Linked DNA regions of Nothobranchius furzeri. The protein of the gene in region 1 purifies or fractionates together with the protein of each later gene. This does not show direct contact. Links are inferred from orthologs where the notes say so. Each region holds a gene or a part of one and is shown in the gene's direction. Other genes may lie near its edges. The genes, in order: interferon-induced, double-stranded RNA-activated protein kinase; adar; znf346; dhx30; stau2.

The links.
Region 2: the proteins of interferon-induced, double-stranded RNA-activated protein kinase (region 1) and adar purify together in Homo sapiens (affinity purification with mass spectrometry; 3 studies listed by BioGRID and IntAct, with this or other methods). This does not show direct contact. The link is inferred for Nothobranchius furzeri from reciprocal best matches to the Homo sapiens genes EIF2AK2 and ADAR.
Region 3: the proteins of interferon-induced, double-stranded RNA-activated protein kinase (region 1) and znf346 purify together in Homo sapiens (affinity purification with mass spectrometry; 3 studies listed by BioGRID and IntAct, with this or other methods). This does not show direct contact. The link is inferred for Nothobranchius furzeri from reciprocal best matches to the Homo sapiens genes EIF2AK2 and ZNF346.
Region 4: the proteins of interferon-induced, double-stranded RNA-activated protein kinase (region 1) and dhx30 purify together in Homo sapiens (affinity purification with mass spectrometry; 3 studies listed by BioGRID and IntAct, with this or other methods). This does not show direct contact. The link is inferred for Nothobranchius furzeri from reciprocal best matches to the Homo sapiens genes EIF2AK2 and DHX30.
Region 5: the proteins of interferon-induced, double-stranded RNA-activated protein kinase (region 1) and stau2 purify together in Homo sapiens (affinity purification with mass spectrometry; 3 studies listed by BioGRID and IntAct, with this or other methods). This does not show direct contact. The link is inferred for Nothobranchius furzeri from reciprocal best matches to the Homo sapiens genes EIF2AK2 and STAU2.

The regions. Positions count from the first base shown.
Region 1 is NC_091752.1:1,779,459-1,783,690, forward strand, and holds the start of interferon-induced, double-stranded RNA-activated protein kinase, read left to right. Parts: upstream 1-1,419; 5' UTR 1,420-1,551; coding exon 1,552-1,658; intron 1,659-2,946; coding exon 2,947-3,076; intron 3,077-4,232.
Region 2 is NC_091745.1:78,176,763-78,179,894, reverse strand, and holds part of adar (double-stranded RNA-specific adenosine deaminase), read left to right. Parts: intron 1-132; coding exon 133-226; intron 227-345; coding exon 346-462; intron 463-539; coding exon 540-667; intron 668-746; coding exon 747-929; intron 930-998; coding exon 999-1,111; intron 1,112-1,432; coding exon 1,433-1,560; intron 1,561-1,898; coding exon 1,899-2,223; 3' UTR 2,224-3,132. UniProt on the Homo sapiens protein: Catalyzes the hydrolytic deamination of adenosine to inosine in double-stranded RNA (dsRNA) referred to as A-to-I RNA editing.
Region 3 is NC_091750.1:54,165,628-54,169,146, reverse strand, and holds part of znf346 (zinc finger protein 346), read left to right. Parts: coding exon 1-16; intron 17-161; coding exon 162-261; intron 262-2,780; coding exon 2,781-3,024; 3' UTR 3,025-3,519.
Region 4 is NC_091751.1:51,205,370-51,208,352, reverse strand, and holds part of dhx30 (ATP-dependent RNA helicase DHX30), read left to right. Parts: intron 1-419; coding exon 420-893; intron 894-1,090; coding exon 1,091-1,453; intron 1,454-1,542; coding exon 1,543-1,621; intron 1,622-1,701; coding exon 1,702-1,806; intron 1,807-1,879; coding exon 1,880-2,055; intron 2,056-2,149; coding exon 2,150-2,356; intron 2,357-2,449; coding exon 2,450-2,531; intron 2,532-2,602; coding exon 2,603-2,796; intron 2,797-2,978; coding exon 2,979-2,983.
Region 5 is NC_091747.1:52,993,638-52,997,156, reverse strand, and holds part of stau2 (double-stranded RNA-binding protein Staufen homolog 2), read left to right. Parts: intron 1-2,961; coding exon 2,962-3,090; intron 3,091-3,519. UniProt on the Homo sapiens protein: RNA-binding protein required for the microtubule-dependent transport of neuronal RNA from the cell body to the dendrite.

The DNA.
Region 1 (4,232 bases):
ATATATATACAATGTGGAGTTATCTGTATTTGCAAATTAAATCTTTGTATTTAAATTTTATAATAGGAAATGATCTGTCAGTCTTTGTGGTGACGGCGCATAAAAATGGTCTCGTATATTTGCCTCAATAAAGTAAATCATGAACTTCCCTGGATTGGATGGGCAGATAGTCTTCTACTTTCTTGGTCTTAAAAATATTTTTTTTATTTATTATGTTTTAAAGATCTGCTCTTCAGTAAAAGTCACTTACCCCCAAATTCCACTACCTCCGCTCCGCTCCGGTCCGCCCCCGCCTTACGCAGCCGCTTGCTTCTGAACTCAATTTTTACTGGTGCGCGCTCTACAACGGCTCCGCTCCGGTGTGGAGACCTGAGGGGGGCAAACAAGCATGCGTGGGATTTTCGAGATCTTGCGATACAGTCTGAGCAATAAACGCGGAAGTTAGATCCAAACACCCGTTGTGTGGGAGAAGCATCGAAATGAACTGTTTAATCTGCCCATCATTTGTGTTGAGAGATCAGCAGTGTTTGGATCAACAAAGTGTGACTACTTTGATAGTAGAAACTGTATTTATGGCTTACTTTTGTGCATTTAAAGTTCAGCCGTCATTGATCGTTGTTAAAAGTTGTTAAACCTGTGCATATGAAACAAAAAACGCCTTTTGTTTATCGATTTATTGTGAAATAACGGAAGCTGTGCTTGCTCCTTTTCCTGTTGAGCGGTTGTGATTCCTGTCCATTGACTGCGGAGGTGCTCCGGCGTCCGGCGAAAATAGGCTCAATTCTATTTTTGCCGGACGCCGGAACAGAGGGCGGCGCACTGCGCCGCAGCACAGCCGCAGTAGTGGAATAGCTCTGATTGACTACAACGTTACCGATTTTACTGCGGAGTTCGTGCCGGAGCGGAGGTAGTGGAAATTGGGGGTTAGGGAAAAAGCATTCGTAACAAACACGTTGTAATACTTTTTTTTTTTTTCCAGAATTTAAGTTATCTGCATTTTTTAGGCATATTAATACAAATCTGAACATCATCAGAGAGGCCTAGCATTCTGCTGGGGGCAACTACGGTCAAGGGCCACAGTGGCCCTCGCCCCACATGTTGGACACCTGTTGTTATAAACAGCATTTATAAAGCATTGTCTCTAAGATGTTAAACAAATTACTCAATCAAAATTATTTACATTTGAAGTCTAAATTTGAATAAACTATCATTAGTCTGCTAACTTTAAATTTACTGACATAAATTATCTTGATCTTTTTCTTATTGTTGAAGGGATGAGAAGGTGATTCTTTTTAAATAAATGTATTTATACTTACTAGAAATGTAGTGTTTTATAATAGCTTTACAACACCAAAAGTTGCACCGGAACTGAGCGACCGACTCTTCCAGTTTCATTTTCGACCGAACCCGATAGATTGATGCCCAGAATCGAAACCAAGCGGCTGGACGGTTTCCGTCTGGAGGAGCCCGCAGAGCCGCCGCCGCGGAGGACCAGAGACACGAGTCTCAACCAGATTCCTCCTGTTTTCTGTCATTTGCTGCGTCATTACGATGGAGCCCTACAACGCTGTAGCTAAACTTCACGAATATGCGCAGAAAAATCGTCTGTTGCTGAATTATGAGGTCCTCGGTGTTGAAGGCCCCGACCACATTAAAAAGTAAGTCGGTTCCTAACTCGACTGGTGTGTGGCTTCAGGGGAACTTAACACGTTTATGCCATGGTTCGAGTTGAACTTTCATTGTAGCGTCTGTTCTAGAAGCTAAAGACACGGACTAGATGCTACTGTGGGAGGTTTTAGAAAACATGCTGTAAAATTATTTTCATATTTCAGTTCAACTGTCTGAATGTCCTAAAGCTGAACCCACTTCACGACGGCTACTACATTACCTTGCTGTTTAACCTGATTTGGTCACCGTTGTATATTTTGAGACTTTTGAGGACGCTGCTACCCAAGTTGGCCTCAAAGAAGAAACTTGATCATCATCATTGATCCAACTAGCTGAGGCAGATCTTCCTCAGAGGTTCTGGTCCATCCTGAAATGACAGCATCAGCTCCATCGGTGATGGACTGTGGTCTTTGATGGGAACCTCCAGTTCCACCACATCTCAAAGGTTCTGGACTGGACTATTGACTGGAGGTCATTGGAGTCCAGGAAACTCGTGGTCATGTTAACAAGTTAGAGCTGATCTGAGCTTTGGGACATGGTGCTGGAAGTAGCCATCAGAAGATGGGTCCATGTGGTCATAAAGGGAAGATGGACATGGGCAGCAGCCTGAGTCATTAGGCAGGATGGATCCATGATTTCATGGCATGGACACCAAATTGTGACCCGACCATGTGAATGTTGCAGCTGAAATCCAGACTCATCAGACAAGTAAAGGTTTTTCCAGACTAGTGGTCCGTTCTGGTGATCCTGTGTGTGTTTTGCTCATTTTGAGCTCTTCTCTGTAAATCCTAGAGATGGTTGTGGGTGAAAATCTCAGCAGGTTGTGAAACACGCATCAACCACCAACAACTATGCCACATTCAAAGCCCTTTAAATCACCCGTCTCCAATCTGGTTCTCAGTTTGAACTTCAACAAATCGTCTTCACCGTCTAGAGGCCCAATGTGTTGTATAATTGTTGTGATTGTTTGATTAGCCATTTGTGTTAACAAGCAGTAGACCTAATAAAGTGGCCATTAAGTCACTTAAATTATTATGATGTTAATTATATGACTTCACAATATATTCCCAGAGTCCCCAGTACTTTGTTAGGTTATAGCATGTTGTGCAAAGGGAAAAAGAAAAAATGTAAAATATCATCTTTGTTTGCTTTTATAAATGGTCTTTTTGCATAAAAGCATTATTACAACTTTTGTTAGATGTTATCTACAGTCCTAAAGTGAAGTGATGATATAGTAAATTGTATGAATGAGAGATTGATGATATCATTTCTCCACAGATTCACTCAGAGAGTTGTTCTAGATGGCAAAAAGTATCCATGTGGTGAGGGGAAAAGCAAGAAGGATGCCAAGCAAAATGCTGCTCATAATGCCCTGAAATGTCTGTGTGAAGATGGACATCTGGACTCTGTAAGAATATTACCTACTCAGCAATTACAAATAACAAAAGCTCATTTCCTTTACAAAATGAAATGTTGAATTTACTTAAACAGGCTATATCAGCTGGTTTCAGTAAACCTAGTTGCTTAAATGTAAAGAGTAGTATACTGTACATGTACTTGTAACAACAACAGTGAGTGTGTGTGTGCATATATATATATGTATATATATATATATATATATATATATATATATATATATATATATATCCAAATTTGAATACCGTCTAACTTCCTCTTAATTTTACCCCGGTATACGGTATTACCATGAATACTTAAAAAGTATGACGTAAGCCTCAAGTGGACCTTCACCTTTCTGAATCCGAATACCAAACACTAAAAAAAATAACAACGTAACTCACATACTATTAACAACATTTATTAACACAAAAAAACGCAGCTTATAAACAAGTGCAAAGAGTCAACAGTCCAACAGCAATAAGTCAACATGAAAACCCAGGACCGCTGTTGTGCACAAATCAAGTGAACAACTTACCAACGAGCAGCATGAAACAACAAGAGTTGAATAACCATAAACATTGAAATTATAAAAATTATTGCGACCAAAACAACTGAATTAAAATTATAAAAAGAAAACTCCGTCACACGGCCACACGCGTGCGGGTGCGCACACACACACACAGGAGTGTGAACATTACGGCATGTTGCAGCAAATCTAGTTCAGATTTCTCGCCAGAAAAACCAGCATGTTTACTTTTTCTGGGTTCAGATTTGCACGTTGTGGACCAACAACTTTACCTGCGGTGCTGAAAACCCGCTCTGATGGTGAGCTGGTGGCACAAATACATAGATGCCTCCGGGCCAGTCGTGACATCTGGGGAAAACGACTGGCAGCATATTTCCACCAGAGAAGAGGGTCTTCGTCCCCTTGAATGACAGGTTCCAAACAACACGCTGTTATTTCAGCTCCAGCTCGCTGCTCTGCGCCGACGGGACCCTCCGGCGCAGCGTCAGCGGCTCGTTTTTGCAGAAGAGCTCCCAGAGACATCTTTTTGCGTGGGGGTTCAGGTTGTGCTCGTTCCTCTATGGTTCGGATGGCCACTGCTTCAGGTGCTGCTTGCCCCTCTAAGCTCACGATCTCAGCCTGTAGTTCAGCTTTGATTTCA
Region 2 (3,132 bases), on another chromosome or scaffold:
ACGTTTGTGCATGTTTTCCCTCGTGTCAGCTGGTTTTAACAGCTCCAGAATCGGGTCACAGCAGAACCCAGAGGTAATGAGCTGCCAGAGGGTTTGACTTTCAGTACGTCTCCTTTTTTTTTCTTCTGTTAGGGAACCGTTGTGTCAAAGGGGAGGAGCTAAGCCTCAAAGGGGAGACGGTCAACGACTGCCATGCTGAAATCATCTCCAGAAGGGGCTTCGTTCGGTAGAAACGGATATCATGCTCCCTTGTTGATGTTCCTCCCTCGTTTCCAAAAATACTCTCTCCTCTCCTGGAAGCAGTCTGCATGACTCTGGCGTCTAACTCGCCGTCTCTGCTCTCAGGTTTCTGTACAGCGAGCTGCTCAGGCACTACGACGGCGCCGACGACAGCATATTTGAGCCGGGGGAGGACAACAAACTCCAGATCAAACCCGACATCACCTTTCACCTCTACATCAGGTGGAGAGAATGCTCCATGTGGCGAATCTGCGTTTCCCGTTGACGTCGGCGTCTCATTCCCGTTCTTTCACCCGCAGCACGGCGCCTTGTGGGGACGGAGCTCTGTTCGACAAGTCCTGCAGCGAGGCGGGAGACGACGCTCAAGGCCACCAGCCTCTGTTTGAGAATGCGAAGCAGGGCAAGCTTCGTACCAAAGTGGAGAACGGTGAGACACCCGGTGATGGTTTTTATAGAGCAGGTCTGGCGGCTGGAGTCCCTGCATGTGTGTGTGCTGCTGTCTCCAGGTGAGGGCACCATCCCGGTGGAGTCCAGTGCCATCGTCCCCACCTGGGACGGCATCCAGCACGGCGAAAGGCTGCGGACCATGAGCTGCAGTGATAAGATCATGCGCTGGAACGTGCTCGGCCTCCAGGGGGCGCTGCTCTCCTGCTTCTTGCATCCCATCTACCTGAAGTCCATCACACTCGGTAAAGCTGGTGAGATTTAACGTCCGCTGAGGTAGACGACTCCGGCTCTGACGTCACGTCTCCTCCCAGGTTACCTGTACAGCCACGGTCACCTGACCCGCGCCGTCTGCTGCAGGCTGGCCAGAGACGGTGAAGACTTCTCCAACAGCCTCCCGCCCTCCTTCCGGTTGAACCACCCAGAGGTGATGTACAAGTTTATTTTCTGCAAAGTCAGACACAAACATGAATCAGAGACATCGAGGTCATACTCATTAAATGCAATAATTAATCCGACCCGCCGCTGTTTTCATCTAATGTAAATGAAACTCGTCCATCAATTAGCAAAAAGTAGAGCAGTCCCCGTCCTGCCGCCTGGAAGAAATGACAGGGATACACTCGCTGGCAGCTGCACGCCTCTTAAGACGCCGAACGCCGCGGCGGCTTTCACCGACGCTCACTCGATTGGAATTTTCTGACCTGCGTTAAATGTTGAACGTACGTCTCTCCTCCTGGCTGGACCGTAGGTGGGCAGAGTCAGCGTGTACGACTCCACGCGCCACACAGGGAAGACGAAGGAGTCCAGCGTGAACTGGTGCCTACCCGACCAGCAGAGTGTGGAGGTGCTGGATGGGACCAAAGGAAAGCTGGACGGGTAAATAGACCCGTTCCTAATGTTTGCATTGTTGTTTGTTTGTTTTCTGCAAGCCATCAGTCCAAAAGCGTGTCCGGTCCTGGTCCTCGGCGCCTCTGTTCTGCTTTTAGATGTTTCTCCTGGTTCAGTGTGCCCTAAATCTCAGTCTGTTAATGAGCTTTTGATTTAAACCAGATCTTTCAGAGCAAAGATGTAGGACGGTGCGCTTCGAGGACCGGGTCTGCTCGCTTTAGAGGCTGCAAGTCTTAGAAGAGCGTTGAGCCTTCTAAATTCTCATTCATGTGACGGAAAACGTTTTTCTGCTTTAATACCAAACTACTCCAAACGTTTCCCTGCAGGAACAAACAGGCCGTGTCCCGGGTGTCCAAGTCCAACCTGTTCGGTCTGTTCCGCCAGCTGTGCCAGCGGTGCAGCCGCCCAGACCTCCTCAGCCTGCCCTCCTACGCCCAGGCCAAGATGTCGGCCACGTCCTTCCAGCTGGCCAAGCAAATGTTCTTCAAAGCTCTTAGCGTCCACGGCTACGGAGCCTGGATCGGCAAACCGCTCGAGGAGAAGAGTTTCGAGATGGCCGACGGAACCAGGAACAGCGATGCGAGCCTCTTTCTGGGATATGGAAATGTTAAAAAGGAGGGGCCGGGGGAGTCGAAGCAGGGAGAGGTGTAGACCGGTGTGTGTGTGTGTGTGTGTGTGGGGGGGGGGGGGTCAAATAGGAAAAAGACTCGAAGGCTGGAAGTGTCTTCTGCTGGATGGAGGCTGCAGAGGGGGCGGGGCTGCAGCGTTGGTGAGGTCATAGTGAGGACAGAGCTGGATAAACACGTGCAAAAGGAACGTTTTTTACTTTGAATCGTTGAACGAAGCAGCTCAAATATTAGTTTTTCATTTATGACATCAGAGGTTTCAGTTTGTTTTTGTTCTGTGAACATCGCACCGCCATTTGGACCAAAACCGCGGGCTTCAAGAAGTTTTGGTGAAATTATTTCACTGAATCGTTTTTGTTGTTGGAAACACACCTGAGACAGACGCACCTGAGACGGTCACACACCTGAGACGGAGACACACCTGAGACGGAGACCCACCTGAGACAGAGACATACCTGGGACAGACGCACCTGAGACAGACACACCTGAGACAGAGACACACCTGGGACAGACGCACCTGAGACGGAGACACACCTGAGACGGAGACCCACCTGAGACAGAGACATACCTGGGACAGACGCACCTGAGACAGACGCACCTGAGACAGAGACACACCTGGGACAGACGCACCTGAGACAGAGACAAACCTGGGACAGACGCACCTGGGACAGACACACCTGAGACAGAGACACACCTGGGACAGACGCACCTGAGACAGAGACACACCTGAGACGGAGACCCACCTGAGACAGAGACATACCTGGGACAGACGCACCTGAGACAGACACACCTGAGACAGAGACACACCTGGGACAGACGCACCTGAGACAGAGACACACCTGGGACAGACGCACCTGAGACAGAGACAAACCTGGGACAGACGCACCTGGGACAGAGACAAACCTGAGACAGAGACGCACCTGAGACAGAGACA
Region 3 (3,519 bases), on another chromosome or scaffold:
CCCTCCACCGCACCAGGTCGGTGCTAATGGTCTCATCTTATCCGTTTAAATGTGGTTAATTATATGTTTACCTGATTAATAAAAAAACTTTTCACAAATTTACAGGTTAATGATCATAGTCTTTACCACAGCTTAACCTTCTATTGTCTATGCTTTTGTAGCTTCGACGCTAAACGGCTACCCGTGCACCATCTGTAACATCGTGCTGAACTCTGTGGAGCAGTACCAGTCTCACATCAGTGGGGCTCGGCACAAGAACCAGTGAGTAAACCCAGGATGGTTAAAGCAGCAATTCAGAGTTTCCCCCTTTTCGCTGCATGGTGACGCAGTGGTTAGCACTGTTGCCTCGCAGCACGAAGGTTGCAGGTTCGAAACTCGGCTGCGGCCTTTCTGCGTGGAGTTGCGTGTTCTCCCCATGCATGCGTGGGTTTCCTCCGGGTACTCCGGTTTTCCCCACAGATCACAACATGCCCTATAGGTTATAAATTGTAAGTCGCTTTGGATAAAAGCGTCTGCCAAATAAATAAACATAACATAAACATTTTCACTAATTACAGTGCATCCGGAAAGTATTCCACTTTTTTCTTTATGTTACACCCTCATTCCAAAAAGGATTAAAGTCATTTTGCCCATAAAATTCAACACACAACACCCATAATGATAATGTGGAAAAAAGTGTCTTTGAAGTTGTTGCAAATTTATTAAAGGCTGGATGCACTGTATATCTAATTTTGATTTGAAAATCCATAATTTATAGTCTTACCCTATACCACGATGTAATGCAGGCATTACGTCATTTTTATTTTTGCTAAGCTCGTCCCCCATCCTCTAGAGCCCCATGCAATTTGAACTGAGTGCCGCTAAGCATTAACCAACAGTGTTGGACATCAGCTAACGTACAGATGTCAATCACAGAGCAGACATGAGTGTTTGAGAAAGTACCTAGACCGATGCTGAGTGGGGAACATTTCCTACAAACAATTAAGTCTTTTAAAAAATTATATATATATATATATATATATATATATATATATATATATATATACACACACACACACACACCTGTCTCATTCAATGTGTTGTCTTTATTTTCATGACCATTTACATTGGGAGATTCTCACTGAAGGCATCAAAACTCATTGGAAATAGATGGGATTGAAATTCAAAGAGTAAAAGAAACTAAATGTCGTGGAGTTTTTATTGATGAAGACTTGACATGGAAATCACATATTAGTTACATAAAAGGTAAAATTGCCAAATCCTTAGGCTTATTACATAACTAATTCTGGTTTGTTGGCATTAGGGGTTGTATGAACTAGTCGACTAGTCGACTTCATGGCTCTGTAGTGACTTTTTATGCCTGTCATCGACTAGTCGCTGTCAGGTGATAATGACTGACAAGATGCAGTCCACGGAAAAGACAGCAGGTGATGAGCCCCTGCGCATCGGGAGGCGGAGGCGACGCGCTGTGCCAGAGCGTCGGCACTGACACTGGCGGTAAAACGGACATTTAACCAAACTGTGACCTTTTCCCTCTTGCAATTTTACCTTCCCCTCACTCCCATCCTAATCTTAACCAGTTTGCGCATGCAAAGCTCTGATCGTTGACGCGCTCCAGACATCTGCGTCCTGAGCACCGCCAAATCAGGTGTCTCCACCTCAAAAACAAATTAAACACGCGATCGTTCATGTCGGCTCATTTCCTTTAATGTTTTCTGTCAGTTATTTGTGCCTGATGCGTTTCGCTGCTGCGGAGCGAGGCGCATCACCTGTTTTGTCCTCCGGTGACGCACCCCCAAAATTCCACTATCTCCGCTCCGGCACGAACTCCGCAGCAAAAACGCTCCCATTGTAGTCGGCCGGCGAGCAGCGGCACTCCGCTGTTTTTGCGGTCGGTAGATCTTTTAGAACTGCAGTTCAAAGGTAACTCATAAGGAAGGTGAATATATATGAACCCAAGTAGCAGTTTTTCTTTAGGATTGAGAGGAGATGCAGGAAGATAATTAACAGGCAGGACAGAAAAATAGTCAAATAAAAACAAGTTAGTTTTTGTACCTGGTGGTTGCAACAAACAGACACCATTGAAGGTAATCAGAAGTGAGGAACAGAAAATGAAATAATTATTTTAATGTTTAGAGCAGCAGGAACTCCAAGAGGCTGCAGGCGCATCAGTGAGTTTGCGGCCGCTGCGCAGGGGGAGGGGGGAGAGGGCTGAAGCAGAAACTACCGTTGTTAAAAGAAATGTGTTTAACTTTGAAAATGTGGGCGCAATTTTAATTGTCAAAAACTCCAGCGAACCATTAGTTCATTTTGCTCAAATAGAAATAGAGGCCTGCCTCTAATTCTGGCCCTCCTTCCAATAAAGGCCTGGAGCTTGATTAGCTTGAGTCAAATACAGGCCCGGGCCTGTATTAGAGGATTTACGGTAGTTGTTTCAGCTCTACTCACCACGGTCTCCAGCAGGTGATGGCGGGGCAGAGGAGCTTATTCTTGGTCCAGAGCCAGTCCGCAGCAGCGCAGTATACATAATTTGGTATATAAGTCGCTCCGTAGTATAAGTCGCAGGACCAGCCAGACTATGAAAAAGGGGCGACTTATAGTCCGGAAAATACGGTATATATAATTTTTTTCCCCTAGATGGTGTCATCTGAGAAAAAAAAACAATTTAGCCACTTTAACAGGATTTTTATATTCATGCTGTTATTTACCAATGAATTTTCAATATGTTCAACTTTTTATTACAATTTAAAACACAAAATACTTTAAAACTTGTTTTTCAGAGCAAAGAAATCATTCGTGAAGACCTCAGAGAACCAGCAACCAGCAGAACAATCACAAGGTGATGAGAACCAGTTCATGCCTGTGGAGGACCAGTACACTGCTGCAGATGAGCAGTATGCAGCAGAAGAAGACCAGTATGCACCAGAGGATTCCCAGTATGGAGCTGAAGAAGGCCAGTTTGAAAGCAACGACCAGTACGCTCCAGAGTACACTGAGTTTTCAGAGCAGTTCCAGTACACTTGAGGCTGGACCAGATTGGACTACAGAGGCTTGAGTCAGGACTTGGCTCGGCTCTCTCCAACCAGCCCCCCTTTAACACATTAATGATTCATCAGCACTCATCTACCTTCAGCTCCTGTCTGACTCTCCTCAGTGTAGCCGTCATGTACACCTGGACCCTGGAGCATCTCCTCAGTTTGCAGCTGAACTTTTTGGCTTGTGTTTTATTTTTCTTTAAAGAAGCAAGCTTTGTAATCAGTGAAATACAGATGTTAGTAGAGGTCCAGTGGTGATGCAGCTGCACGCTCAAAGGAATGCCTGTTTGGCTTTGCTTCTGTTCTGAACCAACACAGCGATGGGTGTACACCAAGGCTGGGTTATGTGAAGTATTACAACAATTAGACAAATTAATATCTTCCTTCAGTAGAGAAAAGATCATCCATTCCCCTCCAAATCTAAAAACGGAAACACATTTCTGTAAGTTTGCTAAATGACAACTGGTTCAAACTAAATTTTGTC
Region 4 (2,983 bases), on another chromosome or scaffold:
TCGGAGCAAAAATGGCTATTTTGTTGCTAATTTGCAGGAAATATCTAGAGGAAAGTTCTACAGAAAGTAGCTAAGGGTCCTCAGATATGTAGCTAGCTTTGTCACTAGGCGTTAGGAACAGCAACAAAGTGGCACTGCCTCTCTCTGCTGCTAAAGCTACGGATAGCAAATGCTACGGGCTATGCCTGAGCGTGAACGCGCATGAAGCAGCCTGCTCGACCCGAGCACCTCTTTTTCTGTGATTTTACAGAAAAACAGGCAATCACAGTAAAAATGCCAGGGCTCATTCTACAGGACCAGGGCATTGCAGGAGAATGTGTGAAGAAGAAATTTATTATTTCTATACATGTTTTGGCTGTCAAACTTCCATAATGCCCCTTTAAGGCTTTTAACACAACAAAATGGCATCTATTTGATAGTACCCAGTGGCGACAGAAGTTCAGAAACTTTGGGAAGAAGAAGAGGCAACGGGGCAGCAGGTGAATCAGCAGTGTGAAGAGGAGGAGGAGGAGGAAGACTATATAACAGACGCTATTACCGGCAGGCCATACTGCGCGCTGTCTGAACAACGAGCTCAACAGCTCAGCCACCAGCTGCAACAGGAATGGGAGACTGCAAAGCCCGGGCTCTGCGTGGAATTGCCGGCGGATGCTCATCGCCAGCGTGTTGTGTCAGCTGTGCGATCCTCCAGGGTGGTTGTCATTGCTGGGGAGACGGGATGTGGCAAAACAACACGCATCCCACGCTTCCTGCTGGAGGAGCAGGTGAGAGGAGGTGAGGGCGCTTGGTGCAACGTCCTGGTGACTCAGCCTCGTCGGATCAGCGCGGTGTCGGTGGCTCAACGCGTCGCTTATGAGATGGGGCCGCATCTTAAACACCGCGTGGGATATCAGGTAGGCACAGGCTCTTTGTGCTGTCATTTAGCTGAACCATGTTTATTTGAGTATTCTTATGCTTCTTTTTGTTTTGTGTTTTTATTTAAACCATCTTTTTTTTTAGCTTTTTGAAAAGGTTTGAAACATTTAGTGAAGTTAAACTAAATGTATATTGTTGGGTTTTGGTGCAGACAGTGATACTTTTCTGTTCTTAGGTGAGACTTGAGAGTAGACCCCCTGAGCACAGCGGAGGATCCATGCTCTTCCTCACCGTGGGCGTCCTGCTGAGGAAGCTCCAGTCAAACCCCACCCTGAAAGGAATCAGCCACGTCGTGGTGGACGAGGTCCACGAGAGGGACGTGAACACGGACCTGCTGCTGGCCTTGCTGCGCTCCAGCCTGGATGAAAACCCAGACCTACGAGTTGTGCTAATGAGCGCTACTGGAGACAACCAGAGGCTGGCTGAGTATTTTGGGGGTTGTCCCATTGTGAAGGTACCAGGCTTCATGCACCCGGTAAAAGATCACTACCTGGAGGACGTGCTGAGGGAGATGAGACGCCCACTTTCAAGAGACAAGGTGATGGATTATCAGGTTTTAGCTTTTCTATTCATTTAGAATTATATAATTTAGTGGAATGACTGTTTTGTTTTTATCCGATTTCTAAGAAGGGAGCAGATGAGGCAGCACCTGATCCAGACCTGGTAGCAGATGTCATTGAGCACATCGACAAACATGGAGAACCAGGTACCTAACGCTCAATAACATTTAAAAAATGCCTTTTTTCTTTAAAATATGTTTTTAAATCGTTCTTTTCGGATCATCAGGAGCAATTCTGTGTTTCCTCCCTGGGTGGCAAGACATCAGAGCCGTTCAAGACAAACTTGAAGCAAAACGACTAACTCCCTCTGATTCCCACATGGTCCTGCCGTGTAAGAACGTCAAGCACGTCTGGATTTGCTTTCCCCAATTTCAGAGTTCTAACTGCTTAAATTTGATTTCTAGTGCACTCCAGCTTATCAGTGGCTGACCAGCAGGTGGTGTTCCAGCGCCCCCAAGTGGGCCAGAGGAAAATAGTTCTTGCCACTAACATTGCTGAGACCTCCATCACCATCGACGACATTGTTCATGTGGTGGATGCTGGAACTCATAAAGAACAGAATTATGACCCACGCACGAAGGTTGTTTTTTATTTTCCGCCTGAATTCACGAGCAAACAAAGCTAGCTTTAGTTTATTTCTCCAGTAAAATGTCTGCATTCCTTTGGTTTTCCAGGTGTCCTGCCTAGATACGGTGTGGATATCTCGCTCTAACGTCACACAAAGAAAGGGGCGAGCAGGACGCTGTCAGCCAGGACGGTCCTACCACCTGTTTCCCAGGCAACAGCTGGAGACCATGACTCCATTTCCTGTTCCTGAGATCCTGCGTACCCCTCTGGAGAGTTTGGTGCTGCAGGTGAAAATCCACTGTCCAAACTGCAAGGTACTTTAAAGAGACCTACTGATTTATTTATTTATTTTTATTTATTTATTTATTTTTTTAAATAGAATAATAACTTGTTGTTTGTGCCTGCAGGCTGGAGATTTCTTGTCCCGAGTTTTGGATAGTCCAGAACCAGAAGCAGTGAGAGACGCTGTCCAGAATCTCCAAGATATTGGTGAGTGAAGTGAAACCATCAGTGAAACTGGTTTATAGATTTAAATTCTCTACCATGTCCTGCTTTAACAGGAGTTCTGGACAAGACTGAGACGCTGACTCCTTTAGGCCAGCGGGTCGCTTGTATGTCGTGTGACCCGCGGCTGGGCAAAGTTCTGGTTCTGAGTGCCGTGTTCAGATGTGTTCTGCCCATGTTGTCTGTTGCTGCCTGTCTCACCAGAGACCCGTTTTTCAACAGCCTGCAGAATCGGGCACTTGTCAACAAGGTGAGGTGACTTGTTACCGTTTTGGAATGTAGGTCTTTTTGTGTGTTTCCCCATTAATGACACAAATAACAAATCCAGTATTCTCTGGGAAGTTTCAATCTGGTTCTGGCATTTCTTTCCTTTGTTTACAAAACAAACATAAATACATTTCCTTTTTAGTCATTTGTGTTTGGTTTGTCCAGGCCAA
Region 5 (3,519 bases), on another chromosome or scaffold:
GTCCTTTCCAGAACTCCTGAATAGACTTTACCAAGGAGGCTCAGGAGTGTGATCCCCCAGGTAATGGACTTCATTCTGATATTTAACCATTATCAGACACTTGAACAGCGACTGTAGGAGACATGCTACAAATACTAAATTCTGTCACCAGCAGCAGTTGGGTCATGCTAGCGTCACCAAAATAATTAAAGGCAAAAAGTCCAGAGATACCTTTTCTCTCCAGCTGTCCCCTCCTTCTGTTTCACTCATCTCTCATCTTCTTTGCCTTTTTCTTCTCAACATATTCTGTTTATTACGTGTTTTCATTGGTGCCATTAAACCCCTGAACAGATGAACATTCGTCTTCACAGCCCTGTTTTCTCTCAGTGGAGCAGGCAACTGTTTTATACTACTATATTTCAGTTTGTCTGTTGGAGCTAGTAAAGACAGCACATGGTCTGGTTTCTGCAGCGCTAGGAGAAATATGGCTGTTGTAGGGAGACGCTCCTGCTGCAGCAGCATTCACTTAAACGACATAGCCAGAATCTCACTGGGGTGACACACAATTGTGAGGACAGTGTGCACATTGTCTGTGGGAATCACACAAAATTGGCACTTTGGACAAGTTTTATTTAAAGGTATTGGTCGCAGCGTGAGACATGTTGTGATTGCAAACATATTCTGACTGTTTTGCAAATGTTCTTGTTGCACTTTTGTGTCAATAAGTCTTAATCGTATTTCTATTTGCTTTCTACTCTTGTTTTATTAGCTATGTAGTTGCCAACTCCTCCCACAGTTGTCTCGCATTTCTCAGACTTTTATGACACACAGAAACTAAACTAAGAAAGGTAGACTCATTACATGCAAAGGCAGATGTTTGTTATAATTGTGATGATTGCAACTTGCAGCTTATGAAAACCCCAAATTCAAAATCTCAGACAATTAGAATATTGTAGGTTCAATATTCTAGACTCAAAGTGTCACACACTAATCAGCAAATGGATCCTAAACACCTGCAAAGGGTTCCTGAGCCTTTAGATGGTCTCTCAGTCTAAGTTGGATTACTGGCATAAATGGACTTTTGCTCCACATTCTCATTTTTTGAGTTTCACTTTTGTTTCTCATACTTTTTTAAGCAGACTTGTTTTCTCAGATATTAGCCTTTTCCTACAGAATGAAAGGTTTAAAGCAGGAATGTTTTGTCTTAGAGAGCACCATCTACAGGTGGAAATAATGTATTGCACTTTAATCCCTTCCGTGATTACTTCTGGAAGTAATGCCTCTCACTCGTTAAAGCCGTCAACAGAGCTAAAACACAATAATAAAATAACGTTTGAATAAGTTTAATTTTTTTGAGCTGGTTCAAAATTTCCCAACAACACGAGAGCAGAACTCGTGGGGACATTTTGGGAGCTCCTTCATGATTACCATTCAGAATTTATCACCAACAATTCCAGAGATATACTGGCTTAACTGGACTCGTCACAATTTTTACACAATAAACTTTAAGCAGTGCAATGCATACGGCCATAGAAGCACTACTTAGTGCAAATGTTGTGTAACCAACTGGCTTAAAAAACTTAACTCAGTGCGCTAATAAGTAGGTTTAATTGGAAATGTTTACTTCCTGAAGTGCCTTGAGAGGACTCTTTAATTGGTGCTTTGTAAATAAACTGAATTAAATTAGATTGAATTAAACTTGATTGGCTTAAGTTTGGTCATGTTTTGGATTTGGAAGAGAAGTGAAATCAGTAAATCTGATGTTTTTGTTTACTAAGTACATAAAAGTCAAGTTGATGTGTTTTTCTAAAACCTTGTTAAGATGGAATAATGCATGAAGTCTGATGGGTGGTAAAAATATGCAGCAGATCTTCTAAGTGTACCTGCTGTTGGCGTGTGTGTGTGTGTGTGTGTGTGTGTATGTGTGTGTGTGCGTGTGTGCACGCGCGTGTGTGTTTCCACATAAGGTACACCTTCTAAATTGTTTGTGTGCTAGCCGCGTCACTTGAATTAGACTTGTCCATTTTTATTAATGCATGTCACCCCAACTGTGATTCTCCAATTTTTTTTGTCCATCTCTGCTTTTATTCACCTCTCTCTCCCATCCCTCAGTCAAACTCGCCCTCTTTGTCTTTTCTTTCGTAATCCCCTTCTTTCACATGAGGAACAGAGCTTCTCTCAGCATCAGGCAGTAATTCAGCCTCAAACCTATTCTCCATGCCTCTTTGATGCACACATTAGGCCCTGTGTGTGTGCGTGTGTGTGCGTGTGTGTGTGTGTGTGTGTGTGTGTGTGTGTGTGTGTGTGTGTGTGTGTGTGTGTGTGTGTGTGTGTGTGTGTGTTCTTTTGTGCAGTCCACTCACTCTTCTAAAATTTCCACATTGTTTCCCCCTGTTAGGCAGCAGGGCTCAAATGAGCCTCTGTTTTCATCTCCTTTGTTTAAATCCATCTCTAGTTTGAGAATCAAACTCCACCTTAAAACAGATACCTTCAGTGGAGCTGATCGTTGTTTTAAAAGCTAATAAAAAAGTGGAAGTGTTCAGTGGTTCGGTGATTTATTTAGCTGTTTGCTCTCACTGTATGTCGTTGCCTGTGTCGTGTATTCAGAGCAGCACTCAAGCCTGTCGGGTCACTTTGAATAAGTGCGCCGATGCCTGGCTGTTCACATGCTCCGGCTCCCAGAGTGTTATTTGTACAGTGTAATTGTCTGTTTGCATAACATGACAATGTCCGATATGCTCTTGGAGATTTCTGCTTACATTCGCGTGGACAGATTTAATGCTCAGGGATTACCGAAAAACAAACACTTGACGTTGCGCGGCTGACTTGGCTCAGAAAGCGAGATCCCTCGGCTGAGAGGGAACGGGCATCAAAACGCTGGAGGGAGAAAAGTCACACAGAATGCATCAGCAAAGCCACAAAAACCCATTCTCCATTTCATGTACAGACGCTTGTTTGTGTGTTTCTTGGGTGCTCATGCAGGTGAAGGTGAATAACGAGGTTGCCACGGGAACAGGACCTAACAAGAAGGTGGCCAAGCGTAACGCTGCTGAGGCGATGCTGCTGCAGCTGGGATACAAGGCCTCCACTGTCCCTCAGAGCCCCTCAGAGGTACTCACCACACCCTTCAGCCAACTTTTACTTTTCATATTTGTTTTATATACAAACCTCTAGTTTTGTTAGTGTCTGTAACTATTTGTTTATGCTACATCATGATTACGGTAAGTTGTTCTAAACCGCTCTAAACTGTCATCACTTCACTCAAAGGGAGCTAAAGTTTGCCACTTGTGATTCTTTTTTTCCTTGATCATTGCAGATATACATTAAACATTTATGAAAGTCTGCTTAAAGCCATCTAATGAAATTGTAATCAACCTTTAACCATGCTTATATGAATTTACCCTGAGAGTCATTTCTGCTGCTCACCTTTTACAAAACTCCCTCATCTCCTCTGATCTGAGTGTTTGCAGACAACCATCATCTCTGTTCACCTCATCGGGTTTTAAGCTCTGTGGAGCAGAATCAGATATAGATCACGTT